Lytechinus pictus: one gene and its partner. The protein of the gene in region 1 purifies or fractionates together with the protein of each later gene. This does not show direct contact. Links are inferred from orthologs where the notes say so. Each region holds a gene or a part of one and is shown on either strand. Other genes may lie near its edges.

Region 1 (17,129 bases):
GGTGATTCGACGAAGTGATGATTGGACCAAAGAGTTACTGGACCAAATGATTGTTAGACGAAATGTTGACGGAATGGCATTAGACTAAATGGAGTTAGAGCATGTGATGAGTTGACGAGATGGCAATAGACGAATTGGCAATGTACTGATGGATGTATAATGACATGACAGTATGCCGTGTGGGGTGAAAAAAGATTAGTCACGCAGCTGCCATTTGATTTTTCTGAGGTAAATCATTTCTAAAACAGTTAAATAAGGACCCAATTTTATACCTCACTCAAAATTTCTTAATTGCTAGGGGTGAATAAATATTGGTCAAGCAGCTGTAATTCAAATTTTCTCAGGTAAATAATTTCTACAACCCTTAAATAAGAACCCCATTTTTATACCTAACCCAAAATATTTTCCAATAATTAAAACAATTTTATAAGAGTTGCTTCCTCACTAATACTGGTCACCTCATCCTATTTAAGGCTAAGCTCTGCGAAACAACTCAAATTATACTATAAGAGAGAAATTAAACTAGAATAAAATGGATTCCAAAAACTTTGAAAAAATTAATAATAATAACATAGTACTTTGCATTTTTATCACTCACAAGTAATTATTATCAACCCTACATGCACTTTCTCCACTCCCTGGGGAGCATTCCAGCAAGAGTTCCAAGACTCAACTCAGCATACTACCTGTATGTACATTAGTCTGCTGTGCAAACCCTTCACTCGAGTTAAGGGTCTGAATGTGCAGCCTACTCATGCCTTCTGTACTGAAGGCCCTCTGAAACAGCAAGGTTTGTACATGTATGTGCTAGTCTTTGCATGGAGACACACTTGCTGATCAAAGTTTCAATCAGGGTCTGTTCCTGCAGACTACCTGTACATAGGCTTTTGCATCCTACCAGGTTCCAATTTAACACCTGGGTGAAGAGTGGCAAAGTGTGGATTAACGCCCTGCCAAAGGACATTAGGCCATGGTGGGATTTGAACACACGAGCCTATGATTACAAGGTGAGAGTCAGAACCGCTACACCACAATGCTTTCACAAACCAGGGCCCTGTCTCACATAGAGCTACGATTAATCTGATCAATCGTAACTATGGACGGCCAGCAACGTCAACATATATTATGCACAGTTTGTTCAAAATAATTTCTAGCTATGATGTATATTCATGCCTTCATTGTTTTCTTGAAAATTCACTGCGCTTCTCTTTGCATACAAAGGACATAGTGCAAATTTTTCGAAGAAAATTTTTTGACACTGATGGATTTCCATAGAGTTACGATTGATCGGATCAATCTTAACTCTTTGTAAGACGGGGCCCATAACATCTAATAGCACCATATGTGCTGCACGATAAAAAAATAAATAAATACCAGGTTCCCCATTTCATAAAGACTTGTTATAATAACAAATGCACAATTTCAATAGCAAATGTACTATCAACCAATCAGATTCGCGGATTTCAGTAGCTTTAAACTGTTATTGCAAATTGTTATTATAACAAGTTTTATGAAACGGGGCCCCAGAAGTAGGGGAGTTGCAGGACCCGAAATCTGGCAAAGAATCTAAAGACTGGCATCTCTATCGATATGGTTGGGACAAAGGGTTTCTGTCTCTGGAGGGGGGAGGGTTGGGGGCCAGGGGGGGGGGGGGGCTCAGCTGCTTTCTTCAATTACAATTACAATTATGTAATTGAAGAAATGTTCAATTACATTTACTTTTCCTTTTTTCAATTACAATTACAAACTACTTTTGTCAATGACAATTTCAATTACTTTCTAGGAAAGTCATAACTGAAATCACTTTTATTCTGTACACATTACCACCTATTTTCAACATAATTCTAAGTTACAGAGAAACTTAAAAGAGAATGGATTCTGCCTGTTTCCCTCTTTGAGCCAGAAGCAGTTGACATAAAAAAGGTCATGAAATTAAATCACAAGTTAACCCTATCTTAACTGGGCTATTTCAGACCAGTATATACTGGGGGGGGGGGGCAATTTCACCCCCCTCAGATCTCGGCCGCTGATCGCGCGATCGCCGCAAAAATTTGCACGCGCGTAGAGCCGGATGTAAACTACAAGACTGTATGGTAAATTTTTATTTTTTATTTATTCTTTATATTTTTGATTAATTAATTATGCAAATAAGCGTATGATAAATTTTGTTTTTTGTGTGTGTTTTTGCCTTTAACTCAATTTATATAGCTAGTAGAATGCTAATTTTTGGTTGGACTATCAATTATTACATTTTTAACAAATATCTACAAAAAAATTGCAAAAATATAATTAATTTCTTATGTATTTTATTGTTTTTTTAATTCTTATGTATTTCTTTGTTTTTACAAACCTTTGTTTTTTATTGTTTTTTCCAATGAACTTTGTCGGGGACCCTTATACGATCATAAATAGCATAAAATAAATCCATTTAAACCAACAAAAGTGAAAATAATCATACATCTATGATTTTTTGTTAAAAAACACAATTTGCATTGACTTTGTACACGGAATCACGTTTTTGAGCAATTTCGGGTCTGACATGCACTTACAAAATGTTGCGTAATTTCAGAACCGCGTCCCCGGGCGTCGCAATTTTGGTCTCAAAAGATGTGCAAGATTTGAAAGTAAAAAGTCAGTGAGCGGCGCGATCAAAAAACTTTGCGCGACGGCGTAGTGATGAAATTTGTCGAGTTGAGGGTCAAATTGACCCCCCCCCCCCAGTTTAATAAGGATTGAGTGTTAAGTTTATTGTAAAGTAATTGAATGTAATTAAAAGTAATTGAAATCAATTACATTTTTTTCAATTACAATCCAATTATTTCCCATTCAAAACTTTAATTACAATTACAATTACTAAAAAAAAATGTAAGTAATTATGCAATTGATCAATTACCTTGTAATTGAGCCCAACCCTGGGTGGGGCACACTCTAATATAATACAATTACAGCTATGCAGGATGTATCCATTCTTGGTCACACATAGAGTTCATCCTTGTGCAGTTTTCATCACGAGGGATTTTCACCCTAGTTCATTTGAGAGAATCTGCCAACATCATTTCAACGGAACACCATTCTTATCCATTTCTATGACAGTTGTGTCGTGTATGACCGGCGTGTCTCTATCACTGTCACTCTCGCTCGTATCGTTTTCCTTCTCCCCGTCCTCTTCGTTGCCCTTTTCCCTCTCTCCCAAGTCCTCGCTGCCCTCCCTGCTGTAGGTGGGTGCGTGCCTCGCCTGGGTTGTCCTGGAGATCTGCAGCAGTTCTCGAAGGCCACGGTTCTCCATCTGAAGTCGCGCCAGGGTTTCCTCGACGTCGTAGGAGCTCTGCTCGTCGACGTCGATGGCCCGCTGCATGACGGCAGCCATCTCGATGATCTTCTCAACCGAGGAAACGGCTGGGTCCTGTTAATCAATAGAGGGAGAGTATTCTGTTTAAAGGGAAGAATAAACTTGTTTACCATAGAATGGAACATACTATATCATGTACAGGGTGGAAAGATCCTTAAAAGAATTACAGTATACCAAGGAAATAAAAACATTATTTTGGGTGTAAAACCAGTAAATTCAACTTTTTCAGCAGTAGCTTATCCTGAAGAGAGTGAGGTACTTGATACTAAAACAGCATGTAGGTTCAAGGGTCTGTTACATAAAAACTTTGGCATTGTTGTATCTACCATGGAAACCTTGATTTAGCTCCTGAGCTCTGTTACCATGGTAGTTGTCAAAATTGCAGTTACCAATGGCGATGATCCTGTGATGGTCAATTATATTTATCATTCTGGTAAATCCTGGATCAGTCCGGGGGCCGTTTAATAAAGCTGTTCGTAAGTTAAGAGCGACTTTAAGAACGACTGGCGATCCTTTCTTGCGCGCTAAATAATCGCCAATCATGCAATGGTGTGTACCATTTACTACAAGAAAGGATCACCAGTCGTTCTTAAAGTCGCTCTTAACTTACGAACAGCTTTATGAAACACCCACCCGGACATTTGAAGCGAAACCATACCTGTTCAAACTCCATCGTCTTCTTATTAGCAATCATGTTGTCCCTCTCAGCCTGGTTCGCGTTGACCAGCCTCGAGACCTGGTCCCGGTAGCTGCTCATGATCAGATCCAGGGCCGACTGATGCTCCTCCAGGGCCACCCGCAGCTCCTGGTTCTCCTTCTGCAGCTCCCTGATCTGTCTGTTCTCCTGCTGGATCCCAAGGATCAGGGCGGAGCGGGGCCGGTGGCGTGCGATGTTGTTCATCTCCTCGATCTCCTCTTGGTACTGAAAATAAAAACACAATCATCGCTTTATACATATTATCATTTATCTACTAATATTCTGCATTTATATAGCGCTTAATACATCAGAACGACGTCTCTAAGCGCTTTACAGACATATTATTACCCCGGTCATCGGATCCTTGCATGCCTGCATACAATGTATACACCTTCTCCACTCCCTGCGGAGCATTCCAAGACTCAATAGCTAGGCATACCTACATATAGGCTCTTACATCCTACCGTGTACCCATTTAACACCCGAGTTGAGAGTGGCAAAGTGTGGATAAACGCCTTGCCAAAGGACGCTAGGCCATGGTGGGATTCGAACACACGACCCTCTGATTACAAGGCGAGAGTCAGAACCGCTACAACACGACGCTTCCATTACACTACATTGTAGCTTACATGTAGTTCAGTAGACTCAGCTCAAGTCAACCTTTCATATTGAACCAATCACAGATATCAAATCATTTCTTTTTTTCAGAACAGAATATGCAAGATAATACGCGATAGCTCAGTCGGTAGAGCGGGGGTTCCGGATTCCGGTGACCCGGTTTCGATTCCCAAGTGGTGCACTAGTGCCCTTTGGTAAGGCATTTATCCTCATTACCAGGTCCCTCCGAGAGGACCTTAAGCCGTTGGTCCCCTGGTTGCTTGCTCACAGGCATTCGTGCTTTCTGAGCAGTCAGGTAAAAAACCTTGGTATGTCTAACACGTAGCATTTTTTTTAAAAGCATTATTACCCGGCTTCAATCACACATACCTGTAAAAAATCTTTAACATGAACAATTTAATGACCCTCCAACTCAAAACCCACAGTAAAATGACCAAAATGAATTTTGAGATTTTCAGTAAGTCTGAAACTGCAGATCCTAAGCCTTTAATAATTCATATAACTTTAACCCTATCAATAATAATCATAACACAAACAAGTACTTCATCGAATTGAGATGTATTTGGTGAGAGTATCATGAGAGAAAAAGTTTTGGAAGTTTAGAATCCATTCATGTGTGCATAGTGAATGTGGAAACTCGGTGAAATTTCCAATTAGTGTGCAAAATGTCTTTAGTATCTCTCTTTGTATTCAAAGTTTACCACTTCAAATTTTGACAATGCCGGTATAAGATGAATAAATACTCTTTTATATGGAGACCAAATAACTATCTTATACCCCTTTCATAAACCTATCTTCCAATTAGCCGCCTAATAGTAATGCGGATAATTCAATAAAAATTGCGTTCACAAACTCCGAAAATTATCGGCATTATTTTTACGAGCGCCCGTCCTGAAAAAGGCGGATAATCGTCATGACAACTGGACACGCCCCCTCAGATGCGATGTGTTGGAAAAGGGTGACCTTGTGACCGCACCATGGCAATTATCCGCATTATTTGGAAATACGTTCATAAACTCAAAATCTTGTCCCGATGCTGCTATTATGCGGATAATTGCAGCATTAAAAAAATGCGGATAACTCTGGTCCTCCTCCGATTTTACGACCAAATTATGCTGCTGTTAGCCGCATAATTGGGTTTATGAAAGGGGTATAAGCTAATTACACTGAGCCCTACACAGTGACTTGTCATAGTTTTTCAGGTGGAGGGTGAGACATTTTAATACCTCTTTCATGACTTCAATTTTCTTGTTCAGAGTTGTAGTTTCTTGAATAAGATGATCAGCAGCACTGTCGTGTTCTTTCAACCTTTCAACCAGCCTTCTTGCATCACACAGTACTTGATCAATGGACAATGTCATCATGCTACGATCTAGGAGGTGACACAAGATAATTTGACGTTAAAATTTTGCAAAAATTTAAAATAGCTTAATAAACTAAGGGCAGGATAATCGTCGTTACTTTGCCTTTGTCATTTAGTCAAGTTAGAGGTATGGGCAGAGCCAACACTACGAGGGTCACATATCTGAAGACTAATACCTTGGTCACATTTGTTCTACGGCGGCCGTACGGCGAGTCGAAAACAGCCGTTTTATTCATTTTAATTCAAACCACCTACATGTATATGTCGTTGGTACAACAAATGTTAAAACAGCTGTTTTCGACTCGCCGTACGGCCGCCGTAGAACAAATGTGACCAAGGTATCGACTATTAACCCTAAAAGGACTGTCGTGTTCTTTCAACCTTCTAAATGCCTTCTTGCACCAATGGACATCATGGTCATCATGCTGTGATCTGAGGGCGATACAAGGCAATACTCGACATTAAATTCACAGTTCAACAAAACTATCATTGTCGCTCTTAGAAGGGTTACATGAACATGCAGATCTACACATCCGGGTCCCGTCTAACAAACAGTTGCGATTAATCCGATCAACCACAACCATGGAACGCCAGCAACATCAACATCTAAAATAATTCGTTTGTAAAAAAAAAAAAAATCTGATAATTTCGATGAATATTCATACATTCATCATTGTTGATTCAGTGTGCTCTTCTTTGTCTACAAAACGACATTGTGAAAGATTCCTGTTCGACCTGTTGGAAAAATTATGATATCGATGGATTTCCATATAACAGTAGTCGAGGTTTATCTGGGCCCAATCTTTACAAAGAGTTACGATTGATCCAATCAATCGTAAGTCTATTGGAATCCATCAGTGTCATATTTTTTCTACCTATAGGAAATCTATAAAATGTCCTTGGTAACGACGGCAAACACACCTAATTGTCAAGAAATCAATGAATTTTAATATTGAAAATGCATCATTTCTAGAAATATTTTTGAACAGTAGTTGAGTTTGATCAGATCTATCGCAAATCTTTGTAAGACGGGGCCCATCGCAACTCTTTGTAAGTGTGTACATTGTATACCTACGCTCCGTACTGTAGTTAGTTTAAGTCATTGATCACAAATTTTGACACGAAAATGTAGATCCCTTAGATTAAAGCTAAATGACAGTAGTTGCAGTAAAATACTGATTTCGTGAGAAAGTCTGTAAAACCAAGGTTAAGTATTACTATATCATCGTGGATCTAGATCTGGTACAGTTACATAAACTGAACTTTGTGAAATCATGATATCTAAGCTAAAAAACTATCACACTGAAGATCGCCAACACAGATCAGTAGAGGCGCACGGCCAATATTGGAGACTGTCTCCAATGTGGGAGATTATCTCCAATATCAGAGACTTTTGTAAAGAATCTAGGTATCCAATTTCAGAGACAGTCTCCAGTTTTGGAGTCCAATTTCCTTTGTTTACATTTGCTGCAAAAGGATTAACTTGGCGGCAAATAAAAATGTGATAAGCAGATTCCTCATGAAAAATTACCCCTTTTCACCGTCTACTTTAAAAATTCACCGTCTACTTTTGTTTTGATAAGGATTTTTGTTGTCAATCACACACAAAACAAATGGGCTTCTGACCTCAGTGAGACAAAATTTTGGGTGGAAAAAATCATGCTTTTGTTGGTGTTGTTTCTTTTGTCCTTTTGCAAAGCAAGTCTCCAATGTGGGAGATTGTCTCCCTTATTGGAGAGAGTCTCCCATATTGGCCGTGCGCCTCTACTGCAGATAGGCACACGTGTGACAGTGTATTAATATTATTGCTGGAATAAAGACCTAACGGAAGTGACAGAATCCGCGCTTATTTTGCTTATTTCTCAGCAAGCACACAATTTCTTCCAGAATCCTTTGGCACATATTTTTTATTCATACAGACATTTTGGTGATCATTATATTAATTTCTGTAAAAAGTCATTTTGAGATCATCCCCACAACTGGAATTTATCTTTAACATCGGCCTGACTGTGTGAAGTCAGTTTGGTCTTTGGATTAATTCTGATTCTTGAAGTCTTCCAATATTGGAAGTCTCAGCCTCAGGCTGCTGAACTTCTGAATTTGGTAGAGTAATATTAGGATTCATACTATCAGAATTAGATTTTTCAAATGCAAAATACTGTACATGCACTAGTATTCAACCCGGCAGTATTCAACCCATTTAAACTTAAAGAACTTCCCCAAATATTCAAAAATAGGGAATTTATCTTAATTTCAGATTTTTCACGAGAGGATAAAGACAGTTTACTAGTGAGATTTATTTCGTCAAAATCATCACTGATGAAATAAATCTCATTGGCAATCTCTCTTTTTATCTACTCTTCAAAGTGGGAACCACCTAAGAAAATTTTCCTGAATTATAGTTTATACGTGACTATACATGCGATCCCGGCATGCGATGTGCCTCAGCTCCGCCTCCTCCGCCCCATTCGATATACCGGTGAAAAGCCAAGGTGTCTCGACCCGCGAGGCGCGGCGTGTAACTAGCCGTAGGCGTAGCGTACCGTACTACTACTACCGGTACTACGTCTACGGTACCTACCGCGCCGGTACTACTACTAGCGTAGCCGGCTGTCGTCACTCGATTAGCAATATGAATTACAAATTTAGGAATATACAAGTGAACAAGATGTCAATGAAATTCATTCAGAAAAAACGAGAGATACTCACAATTCTTTTACCTGCTTTGGGAAAAAGAAAGGAAAGGCATAAAATGCAAAACAAATCCTGTCACTTCCGACTTCAATTTTGGCTTATCTCTCTGATCTTGGCATGCAGTTCACCGGAGATGGCGCTGTTCGTGAATTCGCGACGCGACATCGACATGGTTCCGTGGCTTGGCCGAGCTCGTAGCGTTCCATCCATCATGAAGTCGGTCCGGGATTCGATACCATAAGTTCATAAGTTCATTTTATTTGTCTTCCAACTTTGAGTTTGAATACATGACAAACATATAAGTGTGTATGAAACAATGAGCAGAGTACATGATAAAACATACAGGTATATATAAAACAGAGTATGCAGAAAACATTGTTTTTAAATACATTATACAGCTTAAGACAGAAAAGAAATAATTTTAAAGGAAGACGAGGAGACCTAAGTGAAGCAATGCTTGTAAATTAAGGTTCCTCATTACGAATTCAAAGAACATTGGATAAACAACAAAGAAATGGCAATATAATATAATATGATAACTAAAGAGAGAGGCGGGGAGAGAAGAGGAACACATTTATGTACAAAAGGGAGTACACAAAAGGGGACATATAAGGACAGAGACCAGCCAGGCCCGGGAAAGGGGGGGGGGGGGTGATTATACTGATTATATTGATTATACTTACTTAACATCCCCCCTTTCCCGGAAAAACACGGATGCCCGTGTTCAACTTGATTCATTAACATTGCTCTATAAAGGTATAGATATACAATAAATTGATAAAAGTGCTGCATAATCTATTATGTTTCTGGGAAAAGTATACACTTATCATGTAGTTCTTGACTTTGAAATGTGAATAAAATCTGTTTCAGGTGCATCTTTTTTTTTTTTTTATGGATATGCAAGGCTACTAATACCAACCAATTGGTCCATCAACCGATTAATCACTCACTCAGACAATCAATCATTAAAAAATGTTATTAGTTAATCAATGTCACTGAACTGATACACCAATCAACAGATAAATCATGACTTAATAAAACAAAACAAGTAGCCTAAACCTTTGATCAATCAGGCTAGTTAATCAATCCATCTATCAAATCAGCCAATGAAGCCACTAATCAACCATTCAGACACTATGATCAATCAATCATTCGTTCAATTCATCAATCAGTCAACCAACCAATCGGTCAATCAACCAATCAATCAACCGACAAACAAATCAATCAATTAACCAACCAACTGACAAACAAGCAAATCAATCAATCAACCAACCAACCAACTGAAACACAAACAAACAAATCAATCAATCAACCAACCAATCAATAAATCAACCAACCAACTGACAAACAAACATAATAAATCAATAAATCAACCAACCAATCTACTGACAAACCAATCAACCAACCAATCAATAAATCAATCAATCAACCAACCAATCAATAAATCAATCAATCAATCCATATATCCATCAATCCATCCACTCATCTATCAATCAATCAACCAACCAATCAATCAACAACTAATCATTCAATCTATATATCAATCAATCAGTTTTCACTTTTTGGTTTGGGCCGGAGCTCATAAAAAACATATACTTCTTTAAAACAGTCAATTAAACTTGACAAAAAAGCTTTTAATTTGAGATGCATTCCCTTTTCTCTCTAAATAAAGTACCGTGAATACAAAATCCATAAAAAGTGCACTTATTTTCTTCAATTTACCATGATTCAGTATTTTTCATGAGCAATATACTACAAGGTAATAATACTCACTGTAACAACAATCGATAATAATGAAAGTACTAAAAATAGAAATTAGAGAAATAATGATAATGATAATAATAAAAGTGACAATTACAGTAACAATGTTATATTGATGATATCATATATTATCTTTATATATAAAAATAATGACTATCAAATCACCATCATTATCATTTATAATACTAGAAGAAAAGAAAAATAAAAAAAACCTTCAAAACAGTTTAGAAGTATCCTAATTCATTATGTATTTCATTTTGTAATTTCTAACTCGTATCAAACTCTGGGTAAAAACTCCTTTTTTGACTTAAGATTACTTTAACCAGTTCAGCTCAAAACAGATCCTTGTTAGATCAAATTTATCTAAAATTGAGTTGCCCAGCTAATACACCCCCCCCCAAAAAAAAAAAATTAATTAATCAAATAAAATAAATAAATAAATACAAAATAAGAAAAGGGATATACACTAAGTACTTAATGCAAGGCTTGCAAAATGCACCTTTCTGGCAAGTTAGTAAGAAAGCATCCTAATATTATGCAAAATAAATAAGACTTTAGAACAGAACTTGAAAAGACGAAACTAGTGCACAAACATGTACAGAAAAAAATCGCAGGCAGAGTTGATGAACAGTTAAAAGTAAAAATATGAGATGTTAGCGAATCCAGGGTTCACAAAGATTCACGATTAATCTTACTCATGATTTTCACGATTAATTGTTTGGTAGTGGATCGTATTACCGAACACTTTTCATGAATTCAATCATATCAAACACATTACTCTCATAAAATTCACCAAACTTCCACCATAAATACACAATTACCTACAAAATATAAATATGTAAAAATTTTGCCAAAATCGTTTGTCCCTTTTATGATATAAGCTTCCAATCGGACCCCTCTTCGCATGTTAAATATTTTGGTCACTTGAAAAAGGTATCGTATTACCGAACGTGTGTTTTCTATGGGAAAAGTTGTGAAAAAAACAAAATCACTGATGAGCTATTTTGAACATATTTTATTATTTTTAGAATATTAAGACTTTGAAAATGTGTTTTTGACAATTTTTCATCATCTTTCTATTCAAGTTCCCTTTGAAAGGATGTTACAAAATTTTGAGCTAATGAAATTATTTTCTGACGCGTACGATGTGCGCGTTCGGTAATACAAGGCCGGTCGGTAATACAATCACTCACTATACATGTAATCAATGCAATCAACGGTAAAAAAAAAAAGTTCTACGATGATTGCTATTGTTGTGTTACAGGCCTCAGAAGAAATAGCATAGGCCTACTTTGTGCCAGAAAAAAAAAGGAGATAGATTATCAAAATACAATGTAGGGAGAAAAAAAAAAACTAATTAGTGGCAGATACGAGTAAATATGTGCAGCATAAATGGATATTGGATTTTAAAAAAAGGTTAAAGCCTCTCTGGAAATTAGTGAAAATTATATATTGGGCTACGTGGCAAGTAGACCAACTAGACCAATTAGACGAAACTGGTTGTAGACCAAGATTACACCAAGTTGGATCCGACCAAAGGGGACGTAAATAGAGCTGGCGTAGACTTAATTGAAAATTACTGTTCTGTCTGCCATATTGGGGAATTTTATCATTATGAACACAAACTGCAGATTTTATGTCCATGATAAGATTGCAAAATAGCCTACCGTTGACATGCTAACTGAAAAATATCATTCTTTAGCTCCTTAAGAAAGAAAAATACATGCGGTGCTAGAATTACTTCTGGCGCAGTCACATTTTGTCTACTATGGCCGTACAGTGAGTCAAAAACGGCCTTTTACAATTTTTGTACCAGCTTCATGTATGTGGTTCGAATAGAAATCCGCAAAACACCCGTTTCCTACTCATCATGCGGACACGATACGGGAAATGTGACTGCAGAGGTAATGACCTATAAATAGGACTGCTATACCATTGAAATCAATAACATGATCAACATATTTACCTAAAATACATACAGAATAACATTTCATGGTAAAGAGAAATCAGTACGATATATTATCAGTTTTCCACTATGAAAATACATATAAAATAAATATTTAACCTTCTATAAAGCAGGTACTGCAGATTTAGTACAAATGTTGTCAAATATATACATAATTAGATACCTAGCTTTAAAAACATCATTGATATTTTTTTTTTTAAAGATGGAATATATACAACCATTTTCTCTGGAGAAGACATACTTTGGAAAGACATTTGTGTTTTTGGAATACATTAAGAGGAATGGAATACATGGAGTTATGCAATGCATTTGCTACAATGCTTACGAATATATCTGGTAAAAAAACAGATTTTCTATAAAAAATAAGGCATGTTTGATCAAGTTCCATGACATTTGCTCTGTGACAATTGCCCCGTCACACATGACAAAGCTAAACATAAAACCTGGGCCCCATTTCATAAAAAGTTGCTATGATAGCAACTCTTGCTGGAAAGTCAACTTTCATTGGAAGAGCCAATCAGGAAGCAGAAGTTCTACTGTTGTCATGGTAAATGATATCCCAGCAAGAGTTGCGATCATATCAACTGTTTATCAAATGGGGCCCTGATCTTCAAAAATACACACCTTAATATTAACCTTCATATCAGTCAGAACCAGAACCTTATATATCGTCAGAGATATTAGCAGACGAGAAACTGTCGCAGCAGAAAATTTTGTATTTTTTATCATTACACTCAGTGTGCTCAAAACTTAGTGAGCCCTACCAGAAATTGAACAAATTTAAAATGTTTAAGTTCTGCCATGTTTTACATGGAGCGTTGTGGCCCAGTGGCTAAGTCTTGAAAACAGAGGGTCGTGGGTTCAAATCCCAACCATGGCGTAGTTTCCTTCAGCAAAGTATTCATCCACATTGTGCTGCACTCAAGTCAACCCAGGTGAAGTGAATGGGTACCTGGCAGGAATTTATTCCTTGAAATGCATGTGTGCTGTCATCTTAGTAATTACGGCTGCCAAGCTACAGCTGGGGTAATAATATCCAATTCCTTTGGAAGCGCATAGAGACTTTATTCATGTGATATGTGCTATACAAGAACTGTATATTATTATTATTACTACATACTAAATTGTGAAGTCAGACGATAAAGTATTCCACTCAATAAAGTTTGTTTCTCTTGGCTCGCCGAACATTGTAATATTGTTGCCTACAATCAACCCTCAGCATGAAGGAGTGTATTTTGTGGTGGGGTTCACTAACTTTTGAGCACAACTGTATCATTATATTTAAGTCCACAGTTATCTGAAATGCAAATTCTGCATTCTTTGGTAGTTTAAAATCCAAATTTTGTGTTCTTCAGCGTTATGTACAATAAATATATTACAACGCACTTGTACTACAATGAAAAACCTTACAAACACTGATTTTTCAATAATACATCAGTTCGAACACTGCAGTATGCATTAAAGCAAATTAACACTGCAAACAGGTTTGATCAGTAGATTTTCCACTGATTCATGGTTGTGTTTTCTTGGATTTGCCCTAATTTCATTATTTTTACTGAATTTCATCAGAATTCAACTTCACTAGTCTGAATACTTATACACATGTATTTTCCACAAAACAAAATTGTCAAAGCATTCGAATTGATATCTGATTGCATAGATCATCTTCCTTGCTACCGTCACAAAAGAAACATTAGAATAAAATCTTTCTCTAGAAGAAAGCAATATTCTATAATGACAACTCCCATATGATTTTGCTAAAAATCACCTCATACCTGATTCAAAGTTTATGCATAAAATCATGATTTGTGCAATTTATACATGTGTGCAAATAAAAATGATGTCATGTATAAGAATCAAAACAAATTATAGTTAGGTGGCACAATCTGGCTATTAAAAAAACATACAGTACATGTATTCATTTACATGTTTTTATAATTGCTGGATAACAGAACTTTCTCATTTTACAGTTAAAAGAGTTCCTATTTCATGAAAGTTGAGTAAGTTTGTTGGGTCAAACCATTCAATAAACCACTTTTGTCAATCTATATGAGTTTATTGAGATACTTTGTTACATCAGCATCCAGTATCGCTGTGTGCATGGGTAGCTGTGATGAGATCTGGGGGTCGTTTCATAAAGCTGGTCGTAAGTTAAAGATAAATTCCAGTTGTGGGAACGATCTCAAAATGACTTTTTACAAAATTTAATATAATGATCACCAAAGTGTCTGTTTGTAAATAAAAAATATGTGCCAAAGGATTCTGGAAGAAATTGTGTAATTGCTGAGTAATAAGCAAAACAAGCGCAGATTCGGTCACTTCCATCGGGTCTTTATTCCAGCAATAATAATACACTGTCCCACGTATGCCTATCTGTGTTGGCGATCTTCAGTGTGATCGTTTTTAGCTAGATATTATGATTTCACAAAGTTCAGTTTATGTAACTGTACCAGATCTAGATCCACGATGATATATCAATACTTTACCTTGGTTTTACAGACTTTCTCACGAAATCAGTGTTTTACTGCAACTGCGTTCATTTAGCTTTAAGAGTGACTTCAAGAATGACTGGTGATCATTTCTTGTGGTAAATGATATTTACCATTAAATGTTCATTGGTGATTATTTAGCGAGTAAGAAAGATTCACCAGTCGTTCTTAAAGTGGCTCTTAACTTACAAACAGCTTTATGAAAGACCTACCTGGGGCCCATCTTACAAAGGGTTATGATGGATTCAAATCTGAAGTTGGAAGCATTATTTTACAAGTAAAATTGATGTGAAAAGTGAAATTTTGACAATTGCATTGTATACCTGCTCATGTTTGGATATCAAGCACAATAAAAACTTGAAAAAGTGCTTGAAATATTTTATGTTGTTGTGTCATATCACAGCCATGGCACTATTAGACATTGCATACACTATTACATTTGCTATACTAAACATATAGTTAGTAACTATCTGGCCCTAATTAACGAAGTACTCCTTTCCCGCCTACATGTAGGTTTAGTGGTTTGCATCAAGATTATTTTATCTAAATTCTAAAGCTTTCATGTGCTAGTAAGTACTGATAGAATTGGAATGCCCTCTGAAGACGTAATGAATTTCAGCAATCATAAGAATATGGGCCACATTTGTTCTTGAAGGAAGACTATACTTATTGAATATTATATGTGGATCATTGTGGCCCAGTGGATTAATCTTCTGACTTTGAAACAGAGGGTCGTGGGTTAGAATCCTAGCCATGGTGTAATTTTCTTCAGCAAGAAATTTATCCACATTGTGCTGCACTCAACCCAGGTGAGGTGAATGGGTACCTGGCAGGATTAGTTCCTTGAATGCATGAGCCCTGAAAGGCAGCTCGAGCTAAAGCCAGGGTAATAATAATAATAACATCGCGCCTCGGAATATAATATTTTAGATAGATGGCGCTATATAAATGCCTGTTATTATTATTGTCATTAATTGGTTCTGGACTGTATTATGTATTGACTGAATTTGTACAATCTTCCTGCAAAGTACATGTACAGCTGTAAGCTTTGGTGAAAATCAGCTATTATAAGGGAATAAGGGCCACAATGGTACATGAAGGAAGACAATTCTGCCCTTTGGAGGAAGACTAATCGTGTTCCTTGACGGAGGAGTAGACGCCACACCCACAGCAGTATTTACTTCCTCTGTGAAGCTTGAAGAACAGGATCAATATGAACCAGACCAGCAGGATCTACAGGGACAAGCAGAAAGAACCATCATGAATCATACAACAAATGATGCACAGCTGAGAGTGTGTGCTGAGCACTACTGCCATGCAGCACACCTGATGGTATCTCTGGTTGGGCCACAAGCATAAGGTGGTAGCCCAGAGTGCTTGTGCACATCATTATGAATACGTGCGATGCCTACATTTCCATTAAAATCGCCAACTTAACCAGCGCATTATTTGATTTATAAAATAATTGCCAGCATGAATTCTTATTGAACAATTGTTAAAAATGGTGAAGCTCCAAATGTCCATGGCTCACAAACTAGGACTCTACTGTCTATGACATTTTAAAAGCCTATTGCCACTGTGGTATTTCATACAACCTGCATGCTTCAAGTTGACCCAAACCAAGACCCTTATTTTATATTATGGTTTAATTCAAACTCTGGTCTAAGATATTTTGTAAGTATGGATAGCCAATTGTAACAAATTTCTAACAGTGCAGGTTTAATTTATCAGCTAATTTGACACTGGAATCAATTATAAATGTCTGACATAGATCACTTAATATAGATAGGGTTAATATTGGTTGTTCATAGCTTTATAACTAGAAGAGTTTCACAAACCTGTATGATGACAAAGACGATACAGACCACTCCAATCAAAAGCAACCAATCCTCTAGCGTCATGAGTATGTAATCCTGACAACCCTGTAGAATAGTACATCAAAATATGAAAATAGGTGATTTCAAGTCCGGTGTTGGCCTTGGTGTTGGTGTTAGTGTTGACATTTGGATTGCTTCCCCTAGCTCCAAAACTAATTCAGATTTGGGAAAACTTATCCAGATCACATGATTGACATCTCAACAACTAGTGAGTGACTTTTCGGGACCATCTTCATGTTATTTTTGGTGTTATAATCGTGTAAAAACTGAGCTAACACCAACACCAAAAGGTCAACACTGAACTTGAAATCACCC
Region 2 (16,585 bases), on another chromosome or scaffold:
AAGTTAGTAAGTTTATACATTAGGCTGAACTTTAATAGTTAGAGAGACAAGAGGCTAGCTCTCACAACATAGAATTGAGATAAATGAGAGCGAGATTGAAAAATTAAAAATAAAACGTTACGATACATCTATATTTTGACAAATTATTGTTGATTTGATTGATTACTGTACTACCACCAGAGGAGATACTGTACTACGATCGATGAACAGGCACTCAACTCAAGCCTACAGCATCGTGGACTTAAAGTAAAGTAAAGTAAAGATTCAGCTAACTAACAGTAACACTAACACTAACATCCACAGATTTTAGGGTTTTCCGATTTCAGACAAGGAATAAGGAATCTGAAGTAAATTTTTGGAGGTCTTGACATTTCTTTCATACATTCCATGAAAGTCATGAAAATTGACACTACACACAACACACACACACTGCTGGTGGTACAGCAGAAACAGTCAGACCAAATCCAAACGGCTTGTGACACAAGTTTGCATTACAGCGGCGGCTGAACTCGGGGAAGCATACTCACATGTGCACTAAGGCACGTCGAATGGCATCGCGCAGAAATCGTATTTCCATCGCCCAAAATTGGCATCAAGAATGTCATTGTCCATAATGAAAATATTTGTAAAGAAGTTCTGTGTCGCATATTTTCTTGAATTCCTGTTCGTCAAATTGGCCAATCTGGCCTAAAATTCCAGGGATAAATATTCCATTCCAAGTTGATCACAAGCTGACAAGCACTACATGTAGCAACACATCTCGAGATTGGTCTTCGCAGGTTTATAGGCATACAAAAATCGTGTGGTACATTGCAGCGAATCTCACATATACATACACACATCACACGTTACGGAATAAGCCATTGCAGCTAACTCTAATTGAATTGAAACGCCGATACGCTGGCTTCATTCAGCAGGCTTTCTGGCATCTAGCGGTTTACCTTTGGTTTGGATGACTCCATTATAAAATAGGGTCCGTTGTATAGTGTAATTTTTCACTTTTTCTATTTTAACAATAATTTGATGTATATTCGACAAAAAATATAGATAAATAATTACACAATAAGATAAATAAAATTATTTATTGGAGGAATTTGACATTTATTTTCTTTTTTACTCATACGTTGGAAGTATATGCATATAATTTTCCCCTTAAAATGAATCGACTCGTCAAAATAATCGGATTGCGTTTTACGTCCCGACCGAAAAGGTGGAATCCATCGTACGAAGACAGGTGAATAGAACTATCTTTAATCCTCTTTTCTTTTCTAACCACAGAAACTTCTTTCATCGCCGCAGTCCGAAGCACATCCTTTCATATGTTAACCAGAGAATAAACTGGAAATCCACAAAGAATTCCATCGAGCTTTTTTGTGTTCATTTCATTTCGCAATGCAAAGCCAAAGCTCCTTGCATAGATCCTTAAATAATAATGAGTGGAAAAGATGGAATACCGATATGTATCTAAAAAGGATTAGGGTCGGGGGAAAATCGCTTTTTATTTGATACAAGAGATATAACATCGAAGTAAAGTAAAATACTTGGAGATCCAGAGTAAAGGGATAGATCAGAGAAGCAGATATATTTTACAATAATTCGGCAACCTCATAGGTCCTTTGGGGGCCTTCCGGATTGCTTGTCGCCTTTTTACCTGTGTTTTTTAAATCAATATTGATTAATGAAGGAAGTTCAGTTAATTACCGAGAAGCCTATACATCTCAAAGTATAACTGAAATCGAATGACATCTTTCAAATAGAAGAGATTATTGGGTCCTTTTGTGAAGACCGGACAAAATCTTTAATCCGATAAGCAAATACAACACTATAGCACCCTCCCTCCGGATAAAATTATTCCAACCTAGTTGGTATAGCCGAAAAGGCGTGCAAGAAATACACTGGGGGGGGGGGGGGGTGTCCTCATGAGGCCCGTGGCTAAATATTCTCGATTTGAAATATTCATATTTAGATTTCACTCTGTTGTCTCTGCTGAGAAAAAATATATGTTGACTGCCGTGTTAAAAAAAAGGGAAAGAATGTAATACAAATGGTGAAACCGAAGGGGAAAGGGCATTAGACATTAATATAAAAAAATAAAATACATTGCAAGAAAAGAAGAAAGGGGAGGCAGAATAAAGATGGGGGTCGGATGGGGGGGGGGGGTAAAGTATCATAATTTAAAAGATGTATGCCCCACCCCATCACAAATGATATGCCTTTACAAGTACTGATAATGCCAGGTAAAATTCATTTTATAGAACCGAGTATAAAACAAACTACCGAGAAACGCCTTCCCCTCGAGCATTGGTTTATATAGGTCTACACCCTAACAAAATACCAAATCATTTCAATATACAATTTAAAAAAATGTAGCTCAAGTACGATACTAGTCTTTGTTTATTTAATCTATACAATCCATATTAAACTCTTATGCTCTGTCTTATATCATTCATGTACATTACATGTTGGATTTACTCTGCATTCAATATAGGCTGAATATTTTTATATACTATTATGTTCACATTTATTATGTTTGTATATCTTTTGTAAATATGTTTCTATGTTTGTACTCTCATACCCCGAGAGGGGGTCGATAGAGTCAATAAATCTTATCTTATCTTATCCAAATTATTTATAATTGTCAAGAACGAATTGATTAATAAAAGACATAAAGGGAATTATATTCATATATGACAACGTCACCGGCAAACATTTTGATTCTTGAAATTGTACAAATTTTCTTTGAGAAATCAAATTCTTAGCAAGATTAGCGAGATAGGAAGAATACCGAAACATCAGCGATGGCATATAGGGAGTATGTCTCATCGTCCGAATGGCTTCAAAATCTTGTAAATTTTACAACAGCAAATCCCGCTCACATTGTTGCCTAAAGTTTAGGCCTCCCGTGGTTATAGTTCAGAAAATTGTACAAAACCTGGAAGTTCGAGAATATGAATAAATATGAACGTGAATTTTGAAACGTTAATTTGCATATTCAGAGGTGGATCTACGGGGCCGGGGGAGTTAGGGGGTTTAACCCCCCCCCCTTTGGGCTGCCAAGTAATAAAAAGTAATGACCTATATTTTGGAGCCAACCCCCTTTTTTTGCTTGTCAAATTTCTCAGTACCGAAATTACCTTCATTTTGTAGTGAAACCCTTTTTTGCTTGTCAAATATTTAGGACCCCCCCCCCCCCCGCTTAGAAAAAAAGCTAGATGAAATAAATAAAGGAAATAGAAAGATTCCTTGCTGAATTATTTTTTCTTATTCCTTTACGTTTTAGAAGCTGACATTTATGCATGTTTCCGCGAGGGGATGGGGGACGATATCCTCTTCACATCAGGAACAATGTAGGAGACTGTCACCCCGTCACATATGGGGTGGGGTTCAGTCCTACCAAGTGACATGAGGGTAGAGGACGGTTAGAAAAAGAAAATGTATGAAATGGAATGAGATCAAGTTTAATCTATTAAAAAAACAGACGTATGCGAGCAAACGAAGATCAGTGAGATGATACAATAGAATAAATAACACATGAACGGGTTGTTAGGACCCAGTAGGGTATACAGAAGGAAAGGTTAGAGATGACAGTTGTGTATTTGCTGCACTCAACCCAGGTGAAGTATAGAGATGGGGGGGGGAGACAGCCTGAACGCAACAAGGTCACAAAATCTAGAAAATGTTAATGCGCCTCGGAATATATAAAAACGGAGCTATACAATTATCAGTATTCATGTAGCATGAATTAAAAAGAGCAATATTGTATGCTAATTCATATGAATTGATGACATATATAGGAGTAGGATCAATACCTACTGTTTGCTACACCATGTAAAAAATGTCATCTACCCCCACCCCCTTTATACACACTCACATTTGCTATATATTATCTGGCTTTAATGATGTAGTAATTTTTTCTCATTTTATATGAATTTTGTGAGGTGTTACATCTTCTGTTTCTGTTTCTGTGAAGTAACCCCTGTATACATGGTATAGGAACTCGTCCAGGCTTCCCGCCGCATACGTACATGGCTAATAACCTTGTATTTAATTTGAATTACTTTACCTGAACATTGACGGCGCTGTTTATAATAAGGAAATTGAATAAATAATTACTGATTGATAATACGCTGTCGTCTATTGCATTCATCAAAATTATGACTGGCAGGATATCAAATCCTAAAGAATGACGCAAATCCTTAGATGATATACATCAAATCTATTCTGAATAAATTTCCCTTTTGGTTGAAATGATGAGCCATTTATGAGCTCATATGCATGACTGGCAGAACTGATTAGAGCAACCGTTAGAAGTCTTTTACGAGGCCAGTCTTTCTGACGTGTAAACGTCTACATGACATAATGTGAGTTGGAATCACCAGAAATTACTACCAAATCTATAATTGAAATCTTTTTGCAATACAATGCGAGCATTAAAGTATAATGAGAGATATTGTACCCGATGAATGATAACCAGTCTATGCTAAAACTGAATTTCGTGTTTGAAGCTTGAAATGTATTTCTTTTATTTTTAATATGTGAAATTCATTTATTTTATTACGAACATTTCACCTAATTCCCAATCCATGTTTATATCAGTAAATTTTCTAACAATTTTTTCTCAATAAACAGAAATTTGTTTGGATTTGAAATGTGTAAAAATTAGTTCAAATGTATTACGACATTTACCTGAAGAATAGAAATATCGTAAAAAGTATATAAAAAAGATTATTGTAATCATTTTAATGAACTCGAAGAATGAATCGGTAACATATAACAAGTCGCAGTTAGCTAGGGAGCAGTGGCACGGAGTGGAGGGGCGGGGAGGGGGGAACAGTCCGTTCGCTTTTCAGGTAGTGAAAAAAGGGAGACGAAAATTAAAGAAAAAAAAGGAGGAAGAATAGTTTTAATTGGCTAAAACTATAAGCATGTCCCCTTCCTTCCAATGCATGGACTATACCGCCTGATAAAGGCCTAATTTGTTACCATCTTTTCTATATGGTCAAACAAACCAGCCATCTTCATTCCCTTAATAGATTTAGCTTCGGCTTTTATGAGTATAAAAAGCTCAATTAAGAAATACAAGACGTGAAAGCAATCTGTCAACACCGCATTTCATTTTCATTCAAAAGGCAAAAGACAAAACAAAACTTGAAACATCAATTGCAGGATAGTGGGTGGATATTATTAAGTGTCTTGTAATTGATAATTTGCTTTTGGCCAATCAAATATCAGGATTTCGATTAGGCCCTATATACTTGAATAACAGTTTATCACTCACTGATAACAAGCTTCATCTGCTCATGATAGTCAACAACAAGTCATAGATGAGGGATTTGGGTCAGGATATAAAGTGGTCATTACTTTAATGATTCAAAAGAAACAGATTAAGATTTTTAACATCTTAAAAAACAAAACTGATTCGAAAGAAACAATCCCAGGCGTCTGTATATATGTCTGTGTCTGTAGGCCCGCCCCGTTGACGGTTCTAGTCCCACACCGCCCCTAATTTTTTTTTCTTTAATTTTCTTTATGCTCGTCATAAAGGGCCAAAGGGTCAAATAAATTAGAACATTCTTATGTACCCTCAACCATTTATTAAATACCGGATCCCTCCTGTTCTTCAACGCATCCACGATCTCTTCATATTAAATAATTTATACAATAATTAATATTTTCACTTTATACACAATAAAAACGCTGTTTATTTTTTTTTCCATACAACGCTGTTTACTAAAGAACTTTGCAGTAGTTATTTAAAGTTTTTAAAATCTTAAACAACAAAATTATTATTTTTTTTAAAATTTTTAATAAACTAAGCATTGTTGTTTAAACTGTTAAAACTACTGTAAAGTTCAGAGTACTACTGCGTTGCATATAATGTCAAACATCGTTTCAACTTGTTTGAAATTGTAGTTGAATTACTTATCAGGGACCTATATAAGAAATGTTCTATCCATTCCAGGACAGAGAGGGGGTTTTATAACAAAAAGAAAGAAATACACATTCTTCGTGTTTTAAGTTTTGCCGGGGTTCGACTCTTGAAAAAAAAATCATGCCAATTCAAGAAAATTTAATTGCAAAGTTTTATCAATAAATATCACATTCTCAACAAACGTACAGTGTTTGACTTTTTTCGACCATGAACTGAGAATTGTTTTACTTCCAAATGGCGAGCAAGGGCAGTCTTATTGAATTCTTGTTTTTTAGACCTTTCACTAGTACGCCTTTGCTTCCTGGCTGTAATGGAATTATTGTCATGATGGTACTGCATCGGTTAGTTTCGTGCACAATCAGTAGAGCATTTTAGCAATCACTTTGCAGACTCTTTCTAATATACAACACAGATAATCTTTTTATCAAAAGCCCTTCATAACAAAGCAGCCTTTGTCAAAATCGGTGAATCAAAACAGTAGTGTCGTCCTGGACTCTGGATAAACAACATATTTGCAAATTTTCCGATCCGAATCTTAAGACGATGTGCTGTCCCTGTCCACCAACTTTCGACAATGACCTCTAATTTGTCCATTATGATGACGGGCATTTTCAATAGATTTTGAACGTTGCAGAAAGCGTCTGCAAAGTGGATGCTAGTGATTACTTGGCACTCACCCGAAATGAAGACGCATAATTATCAAGAGGGCGCTATCTAATATTTAGAACAGAATGATAAAGAGAGTGTTCAAATGGTTTATTTTTCAATTATCAAAACAAAATAGAAATTAAAAAGTAACAAAATAATGATGTACAATTCACAGAAACAGGTTGGCAATACCTCATTGATATAGATATGAAAAAAATAATCAAAATGATATAGCAGATAAATTGTAAAGAGGGTGAAGTACGGTTAAAGGACAAGTCCACCCCAATAAAAATTTGGTTTGAATAAAAGGAGAAAAATCCAACAAACACAACACTGAAAATTTCATCAAAATCGGTTGTAAAATAAGAAAGTTATGACATTTCAAAGTTTTGCTTAATTTCACAAAACAGTTATATGCACATCCTGGTCGGTATGCAAATGAGCAGACAGATGACGTCACCCACTCACTATTTCTTTTGTATTTTATTATATGAAATATGAAAAATTCGAATTTTCTCCTCATTGTCATGTGGAACAAACTTTTATTCCTCCCTGAACATGTGCAATTACCATTATTTTAACAGTTTGTGGTTGAATCAAGTGGTCCCAATTGTCAAATCTGTAAAAATTGAAATATTGTATAATTCAAACAATAAAAAACAAAAGAAATAGTGAGTGAGTGACATCATCGACTCTCTCATTTGCATATCAATGAGTTGTGCATATAACTGTTTTGTGAAAAATAAGCAAAATTTAAAAATGTCATAACTTTCTTATTTTACATCCGATTTTGATGAAATTTTCAGTGTTATGATCGTTTGATTTTTCTCTATCCATTTAAATCAACAAATTTCTGGGGTGGACTTGACCTTTAAAGAAGCTTGTATCACATTGCATAAAATGTCATGCAGATCAGCGAAGAGCACTAATCTGCATGTAGATCAGCGAACAGAACTAATCTGTATACAGATCAGCGAAGACCACTGATCTATATACAGATCAGCGAACAGAATTAATCTGTGTACAGATCACCAAAGAGCACTGGTCTGTATACAGATCAATGGCGAAGAGGGGGTGAAATTAGTACAAAATTGCCCTGAGCAGTCCTATAGAATGGGCCTCTACTATCTCCCCATCTCACATCCTCTATCTGTCCATTTTGTTTGCAAAAAAAATAACAAAAAATGTAATTTCGTTCATTTTTTTTGTCAATTTAGTCGCTTCAACATCTTCAATTTTCTGGAAATTTTATCAATGTAAAGCCAGTGGAGGGAACGTCCCTATACCATAGACTAACAAATTGAAATTGAACTGAGATGAGGGATGGGTGGGGGTGGGGGGGGGGGGGGGGGAACGGTCGTTCTCAAAATGCGAATGGCTCATGTTGTTTCACGACCCATATAATTTTTTAATTACCCTTTTCTTCTCCCTTCTTCTTTCTATTTTGTTTTCACTAATTTGAAAAATCATATATAGGCGGTCGCTCCCATGTTCTTACTAGTGTCCCTATACACCGCCCTCTTTAGTCGTGCGTAAAGTCATTCGTATATCTTTATGTTCGTATCTTACAAACAGCTTTATGAAACATTCACCTGGAAATGATGTATTAAGCATTGTTTGACATGTAAAATAAGTAATGAAGAGACTACTTATCAGTAAATTAATTATTCTGTGAGCAAAAAGTGCGAGTTGAAATTTTATATTAACCTTAAAAGAACTGGACATTTGACACTCTTTTTATAATCATGAATAGCAGGCTTATCGTACTAAACGATAATTTAAAGCAATCGCGTTCATGAGCTGAAATTGAAATGTTTGGTATATTGGCATGTAAAAGGAAAATTTCAAGGACTGTTTGTAGGAATTCATCGAGACCGTGATACATAGGCCTATCAAAGCTCACTATCAAATGCATGCGTCCCATGCGTAGGCTAAAGGTTAAGCATGCACGAGCTGAAATTTTTAGCAAACAGATCTGAAACGGATCATTGTCCCCCCGCCCCCCTTGTCTGTTGAATAAGTTCGGGGACTTGTCTCTCTAACCCCTGTCCACAAGGGAAGCATGTCGCATTGTAAGAATTTCATTCATCTTTTTGGAAAGCAATCCGTGTTGGACTGACAAGGTGAATCTATCAAATTCACTTGAATGTCTTCAAAAACAGTTATAAACTGACATATTAAAAACGATAACTCATCAAACAACGAAAACACTTGACCATGACCACTGACCACACCCCCGCCACACCCCTCATTCTGGGCCATTATTACCATTGGCGGCAGAAGCCAAAACATTTATGGGGGGACCACCAAAATTTTTGGACAACCAAAAAAAAAAAGGTTATATATCAACCCAAATTTTAGAGGGGGGGGGGGGACCGACAGAATTTTTTGACAAGCAAAAAAAAAAAAAAGAAGGTTATCAGCAAAAATTTTAGGGGGATCGTCCCCCACCTCAAATTTAGGGGGGACCCGGTCCCCCCGCCCCCCCCCCCCGCTTCCGCCCGCTATGCTTATTACCCCCACCTTGTTAACCCCTCTCGAATCTCAGCAATCTGATTTGGAATCTTTCGCAAAGTGACTCCACCCAAATTGTATACATATTGCCAATTTGTTCTTAAATACTTGTTATTTGCATCGTCATTTCTTTACAAAATTCAAGAAAATTATCTTAAAAATAATTTTAATGCTATTTATATTTTTACAGAATAAAAAAATCACAAAATTTTGTACAAAATATTTTTATATCACAAAATAAAGCCTTTCAAAATTTCGTCTTTTGAGGAACAGAAAAGCTGAAGAATACACAAATATTAGTACGTGGGACTTGAGATAAGATATTTTGCACGGAACTCAATACCGCACACTACCTGTTACGTTTGATTGAATTATTTGAAGGATTTCGAATGACATAGAGGTAATTTTAATGATTATGTCGTAATAAGATAATGATTAGTTAATGTAGATTGGGAACAATTTACGAAGGGTGCAATATTTAGCTTCTAAATATAAATTTTATGTATCCTAATTTAACCCGTTTGGCGTTTGTTGACGTTCGTCGTGTTCGTTGATCAATGACTCATTAATTGTTTGGGTTTTTTTTTTTTTTTCATTTGTTGATCCTGTCTTTCTTGAATTATTATAGTGAGATCGAGTTTGGACTCGCCGGTTATTAGGCTACATCGAAAATGTGAAATTGTATCGACAATGATATCCAGATTATCGTCAATCGTCATGATGACAGCCCTATCTTACTTCAATTTCAAACTCAAACTTTAAAGTTCAATCTTACTTAGGCGTAGCCTAGAGGCTAGACTCTAGAGTCTAGTCTAGACTAGTAGAGGACTCGGTGATCATATTTTTTAAATACGATTTTGATATTGTCATTTGATCACTGAGCCTAGACAAGGCCGGCTATCAGCATCAGCAATATACGGAAGAGAAGGTAGTCCTGTAAAGAGTTGGATCACGTGCTACATAGTGAAGATTGGACCAATGAATCAGTAGAGGCGCACGGCCAATATGGGAGACTCTCTCCAATAGGGGAGACAATCTCCCACATTGGAGACTTGCTTTGCAAAAGGATAAAAGAAACAACACCAACAAAAGCATGATTTTTTCCACCCAAAATTTTGTCTCACTGAGGTCAGAAGCCCATTTGTTTTGTGTGTGATTGACAACAAAACAAAAACAAAAGTAGACGGTGAATTTTTAAAATAGATTCAATAGACGGTGAAAAGTGGTAATTTTTCATGAGGAATCTGCTTATCACATTTTTATTTGCCGCCAAGGTAATCCTTTTACAGCAAATGTAAACAAAGGAAATTGGTCTCCAAAACTGGAGACTGTCTCTGAAATTGGATACCCAAATTCTTTACAAAAGTCTCTGATATTGGAGATAATCTCCCACATTGGAGACAGTCTCCAATGTTGGCCGTGCGCCTCTACTGTGAATGTCCAATTGTTCTTTTAAATGTATTTAGACTAGGTCAGGTGCAGTTAGCCAGGAGGCGTCTGGGGAGTAAAAGTCATCTACTCTACGTAGGCTTACTCCCCACTGACGCCTGGGACACCAAGGTATATTCACGCACGTACGGCCACAAAACCTGAAACTTTCGCCCCCGAGATTTCTACTTTCCCTCTAAAAGATCTAGCCCTAAAACATGTACATGGGGTTCAACTTCATTTCCAACATTTCTGCGATATCGATTTCGTTTTTAAAGAAGAATTCATTAAAAAAACGAGAAAAATGGTATGAAAAGATGGGAAGAGCTTACGGCCGTGTTTACGTCGCCATCTTGATTTCTTTGTCTTCCGCTTGGCGACAGCACGCAATCGCGGGATTTGCGTGCTGTCGCCAAGCGGAAGACAAAGAAATCAAGATAGTTGAAATATATTTTTCATTAGTAACCAGGGAATAATTTTTGTATTCACCAGAGTGCTCAAAAACTTAAATTTTGGGCATATTTTTGTGTACGCCCTCTATTGGTGGAAAGTAATATAGTAAGAAAATTTTCATTTTTCAATCTCTATTTTTAATTATGAAAAAATAATTTAAAGAATCAAATTTACTTAAGGGCCAAGTTGTATAACAAATAGGTATAATGGAAACTGTCAGTGTAAAAAAATCAAGCATTTGTCCCAAAGAAAAGGAGAAAATAAGCCAAATATTGCTACCCTTATTTTGCAACACATGGAGATGTAACTGAGAACAAGGTTATATCATAACCTTGTTCATCGAATGAGTGAATTTCTTCATGAGATTCCAATCGTTCGTTGTAACCTGTAATGTAAGCTGCCATTTTGGTTCTGAATATTCATGAAAGTGACGACAGACTTCACTCCTTGACCCTAACGTCACTTACAGTGCCCGGATGTTTCCATGAGTTGAACGTTTGTCGCCTGTGTACGATTTACAAGCAATCCAATGGCCAATGGTTTCAACCCGAAAGTTTTTCCAACGGCCATATGTTTGTGAAATATCATAACACCATCGGATATACTCACTTGTTCACTGCAACCATCCTGCCTGTGGGGAATCTACAGTACAGGTACTATGGCATGCCAATGCTGTACAGAGCACACACTTTAAAACATTAAAATATCACTTTTGTGACCAAAATTACTACCGTAATTTCCATACAGTTGCAATTTATTTTTCATTAGTAACTTGGGAATAATTTTTGTATTCACTAGAGCGCTCAAAAACTTGAATTTTGGGCATATTTTTGTGTACGCCCTCTATTGGTGGAAAGTAATATGGCAAGAAAATTTTCATTTTTTATCTCTATTTGTAATTAAGAAAAAAATAATTCAAAGAATCAAATTTACTTAAGGGCCAAGTTGTATGACAAATAGGTGTAATGGAAACTGTCAGTGTAAAAAAAATCAAGCATTTGTCCCCAAAAAAAGAGAAAATAAGCCAAACATTGTCACCCTTATTTTGCCACACATGGAGATATAAGTGAGAACAAGGTTATATCATAACCTTGTTCATTGAATGAGTGGATATACTGGGACTAGGGAGTTTATGACATGTAATTACATGTATTTAGAATAAAGTGAAAAATCAAAGAACCACGTCGGGGGTTTTTTGTATTGCAAACCCCCTGATGGCGGGTGCATGTTGGCGAGCCGTCTGTGTACGAGGAGAAATAAAAAAATTAAAAATGTTACAAAACTCCTCGAAACAGCTGTCTATGTCACTGTATGAGCATGAAATCAGTGTTTTCACAGGGTGAAAGGGGAAGTTCACCCTGAAGAAAAGTTTGTTGTGAAAATAGCAGAAAATATGATAAAAAATATTGGTGAAGGTTTGATAAAAATCCATTAAACTAAACTATCTAATGATTAAGAAAACTATTAGAGTTTTGGATTTTATAAACGAGCAGCTGCCCATGTTATGTAATAGAAAATGCAAAAATTTCAAGTTTTTAATGGTTTGTGATGACTTATTTTGATTTCTTTTTAGGAATGGGTGTGAAATGATTTGTCCATTTATTGATATAATAAGGGTGCAGTATAAACCATTTTCAATTTCCAGAGAAAATTACATTTCATTGACTTTTTTTACCATTCGATATCATATGTAGTAAAGCTGCTCGCATATGACGTCACAAATCAAAATCAAATAATTTAAATTCTTTGATGGATTTTTCTCAAACCTTCAGCATTATTTAAAAATATTTTTTCAGCTATCTTTACAAAAAACTGTCAGGGTGAACTTCCCCTTTAAGACTATTGGCGTTGATTCGGCAGACTCATAGCCATACGATAAGGGCTACATGTAAGTCTGTTTTGGAGGATTTGAATCAGACTAAAAATCTTGGACTTGTAATTTTTCAGAGTCTTTCCTTGATTTTTTTTTTATAGAAAGAGATAAAACTTGGAAAATCGTTCAAGGCGAGACTCGAGCCTGCGTCAATGATCGTGACTGCAGTGAATTCATAATAGCGCTTCGTTTTACCGATCGCGCAACACCAGATAAGCTGATCGATACGTTGGAAATTATGCTATATCCTGTTCCATGAATATTCATGAGGCGTACTGTAGTCTGACTAAATAAACCCTATTGGGTAGTAAGTCTGCCAAACTGACGCCAATATAGTCTTAACCTTTTTACAGATCCAAAACTAACTTTACAAAACTGAATCCCAAATTTTTCAAAATTCATAGACATTTCCTGGATTGTTCAAGTTTGATTTAAAAAAAAAATCAGACAATAATACAGCGAGCCTAAACTTGGTCTAAGTGACCAAACCCTAGGAATTAAAGCTTTTTTTGTTCACACACTTTAAAAAATAGTAAAATAATTATGGAATGCGAGCACGGAGCGAGAGCAGATAATTTTGAGCTATGTACCAGTACTACCGGTATGAGGCAAACAGTTCTTTAAACATAACATGAATAACTTTGCTACGTTTAATTGTTGTTTTTAATTTCCCAAACCTATCCTGGAACAAGTATTGACCAAATCCTTTGGCCCTTTCATATATTAAATTTCTGATTTAGCATTGAGATTTGGAGAGTAAAATAATATCAGTATCATAGTATAAAGGGGTCTAACATTAAACTTTATGCACCATCCAAAGGAACTCATTTCACAGTGCACTGGCTCTGTGGTGATTTACCCCCCCCCCCAAAAGCGCTAAAATAAAAGATCATTTTTCTGTTTGATATCTGTCTCTTCAATGTTTTTATCTCTTATTGTAGGCCTATTCGTTACTTTTGCTTTTCAGGATAATATTATAGGCCTATCTTAATGTTAGAACTTCTTGTTGCCATATACATGTATTCATCTATTTCCTTTCATATAGTCAACATTTCAAGTTATTTGTCTTTTATTAATCTCTTACCGGTAATTATTTTCATTTTATAAAGTTTTTTTTTAAACTGAGGTTAGATGGGTCCAGCACTCCTGTACACTAGAATCATTGTTTTCCACAATAATTCAATTTTCATCAAATTACCGGTATGGATCCAGGATGTAATAACTGCTGAACTGAGTTCTTGAATTATCAATATCATACAGTCATTTCCACTATTCATGTTTGATTAACTATTTTGTTCTATCTATGATCTTGTAGAGCATTGTGGCCCAGTGGATTAGTCTTCTGACTTTGAAACAGAGGGTCGTAGGTTCGAATCCCAGCCATGGCATAATTTCCTTCAGCAAGAAATTTATCCACATTGTGCTGCACTCAACCCAGGTGAGGTGAATGGGTTCCCGGCAGGATAAATTCCTTGAATGCATGAGCGCTGAAAGGCAGCTTGAGCTAAAGCCGGGGTAATAATAATAAGAATGCGCCTCGGAATAGAATATTTCTAGATAGATGGCGCTATATAAATGCCTATTATTATTATCTACAGGTAAAATGATGATTTGACTGCAGAGGGATTCATGGTTTAAGTTGATTTCCACACCATTCTTCTGGTTGAAGTAGTAGACTGGAAGAACGGCACCAAGATATTCTTTTGGTGAAGTCGCTTGATTCAAGAAAGGAACGTTGAGCTTTGTCAAAGCTTGTGCCACTTGAAAAGGTAAACAATCTCAACCTTACAGTATTATAGTTATGATTTCTATTTTGTTGTATCCAATATGGGATTTCTCATCTTTAATGTGTAACTTATTTTAATGGAGAGTTTTGTTGAGAGTTTAGTTGTGAGAGAGGTTCTTGGTGTCTTTTTTTGTCAGCTGGAATGAATGTGACCATATATTGCTGTTAAATTGGGAAATTCCATAATTCATAATTCATAAATTCATAATTCATAAACAGATGGCTTTTGTGTGAGCAACATTGACTGAGGAAAGGTTAAATATGAAAAACATTGATAAATCTGTATGTATAATACATTTGCTAAATTGTCTTCATACTGTAGATTTCAATTGCCAGATAGGCAGAAATTTCTGGAGTGTTATAATTGTGCAATTTGTTGCCTAGCTATGCAGTCCTGAGTAATCCTGTAGGACCTTGTTTGGTGAATAGGAATGCTATATAAACACAGGTATAAAGTTCTCATTTTTACTTCATCTACTGTTACAGTGGGGAAAGGAAGAGATTGTTGTTTGTCCGCATAGCCTGGTACCACACTAAACCATCACCATTGCGACTGCAAACGGGTCAGCCCGGTCAACGAACAGAATGACCATGGAAGATGAACATGATACATCCACCGTTGAATCCTTCCCTCTTCACATCCTCCTATATCCCATCCTTGATGAGGTAGGTTTACTTTTCCATTGTGATCTCTGTCTTTCAGTGTAGTTTAATAATAATAATAATAATAGGTATTTATATAGCGCCATCTATCTAGAAATATTCTATTCCGAGGCGAACAATAAAAGAAAGAATGAGAAAGTTTGGATGAGTGTCAAAGTGCCAATAAGTAATTCTGTTAGAAAAAATAAGACTTCAGTTAAGATTTGAAGGTCTCCAGTGATGGTATAATTCTTAAATTTAACGGCAAATTATTCCAGAGAGAAGGTGCTGAGTCAGAGAAAGTTCATGCACCATATGCTACACATGTCTTGGGAGTCTTAAGAAGTTGCTGGTGTGATGATCTTAGGCTACGAGTTTAACCTCACTTCCAGCATAAAATCAAACTAAATAGCCCTTACGTTTGGTAAATTAAAATAGACATTTTTCAAAGAATGCAAGGTGAATCCACCTCCCCCTCCCTCTCCCCCTCCCCCCCTTGTTAAACGGCGGGAACAGAACAGGATTTTAGACTGACCAAATTCATTATTAGATTAAATTGAAATAGAAACTCATGTGTGATCTTAAAGGTCAAGTCCACCCCAGTATAATATTGATTTGAATTAATAGAGAAAAATCGAACTAGCGTAACGCTGAAAATTTTATCAAAATCGGATGTAAAATATGAAAGTTATGACAAGTTTCGCTTATTTTTCACAGAACAGTGATATGCACAACTCAGTGACATGCAAATGAGACAGTCGATGATGCCCTTCACTCACTTTCTTTTGTTTTTTATTGTTTGAATTATACAGTATTTCATTTCTTACAGATTTGACGATAAGAATCAACTTGACTGAATAATTTAGTATTAAACAGTGGTAATTCCACATGTTCAGGGAGGAATTAATCATTGTTTCACTTGACAATGAGGAGAAAATAAGAACATTTCATATTTCATATGATAAAATACAAAAGAAATAGTGAGTGGATGATGTCATTTTTCTACTTGTTTGCATACCAACCTGAGCCGGCCGCACAGAATTGTTGTTAGCCTAATCAGAGCGCTAACAGTAATCCCAGTCACATCTTTCGGATTGTTAAGTCAAAATATTTAATCAAATGTGTAAGTAATGCATTGTTGAAACATTAGGCATCGCTGGCGCATTACCGGTTGTAACAGGGCATCTGTTAGTGCATCGTTGTGGCCCAGTGTATTAGTCTTCTGACTTTGAAACAGAGGGTCGTGGGTTCGAATCCCAGCCATGGCGTAATTTCCTTCAGCAAGAAATTTATCCACATTGTGCTGCAC

The links.
Region 2: the proteins of FGFR1 oncogene partner 2 homolog (region 1) and programmed cell death protein 10-like purify together in Homo sapiens (affinity purification with mass spectrometry; 3 studies listed by BioGRID and IntAct, counting the BioPlex papers as one, with this or other methods). This does not show direct contact. The link is inferred for Lytechinus pictus from reciprocal best matches to the Homo sapiens genes FGFR1OP2 and PDCD10.

The regions. Positions count from the first base shown.
Region 1 is NC_087253.1:9,972,350-9,989,478, forward strand, and holds the start of FGFR1 oncogene partner 2 homolog, read right to left. Parts: upstream 8,860-17,129; 5' UTR 8,737-8,859; intron 6,037-8,736; 5' UTR 6,029-6,036; coding exon 5,891-6,028; intron 4,272-5,890; coding exon 4,008-4,271; intron 3,404-4,007; coding exon 3,053-3,403; 3' UTR 1-3,052. Other genes in the region: tetraspanin-9-like, read right to left, coding at 16,066-16,170, 16,776-16,859. UniProt on the Homo sapiens protein: May be involved in wound healing pathway.
Region 2 is NC_087260.1:24,493,725-24,510,309, forward strand, and holds the start of programmed cell death protein 10-like, read left to right. Parts: upstream 1-9,400; 5' UTR 9,401-9,494; intron 9,495-14,446; 5' UTR 14,447-14,617; intron 14,618-15,120; 5' UTR 15,121-15,219; coding exon 15,220-15,300; intron 15,301-16,585. UniProt on the Homo sapiens protein: Promotes cell proliferation. Modulates apoptotic pathways. Increases mitogen-activated protein kinase activity and STK26 activity. Important for cell migration, and for normal structure and assembly of the Golgi complex.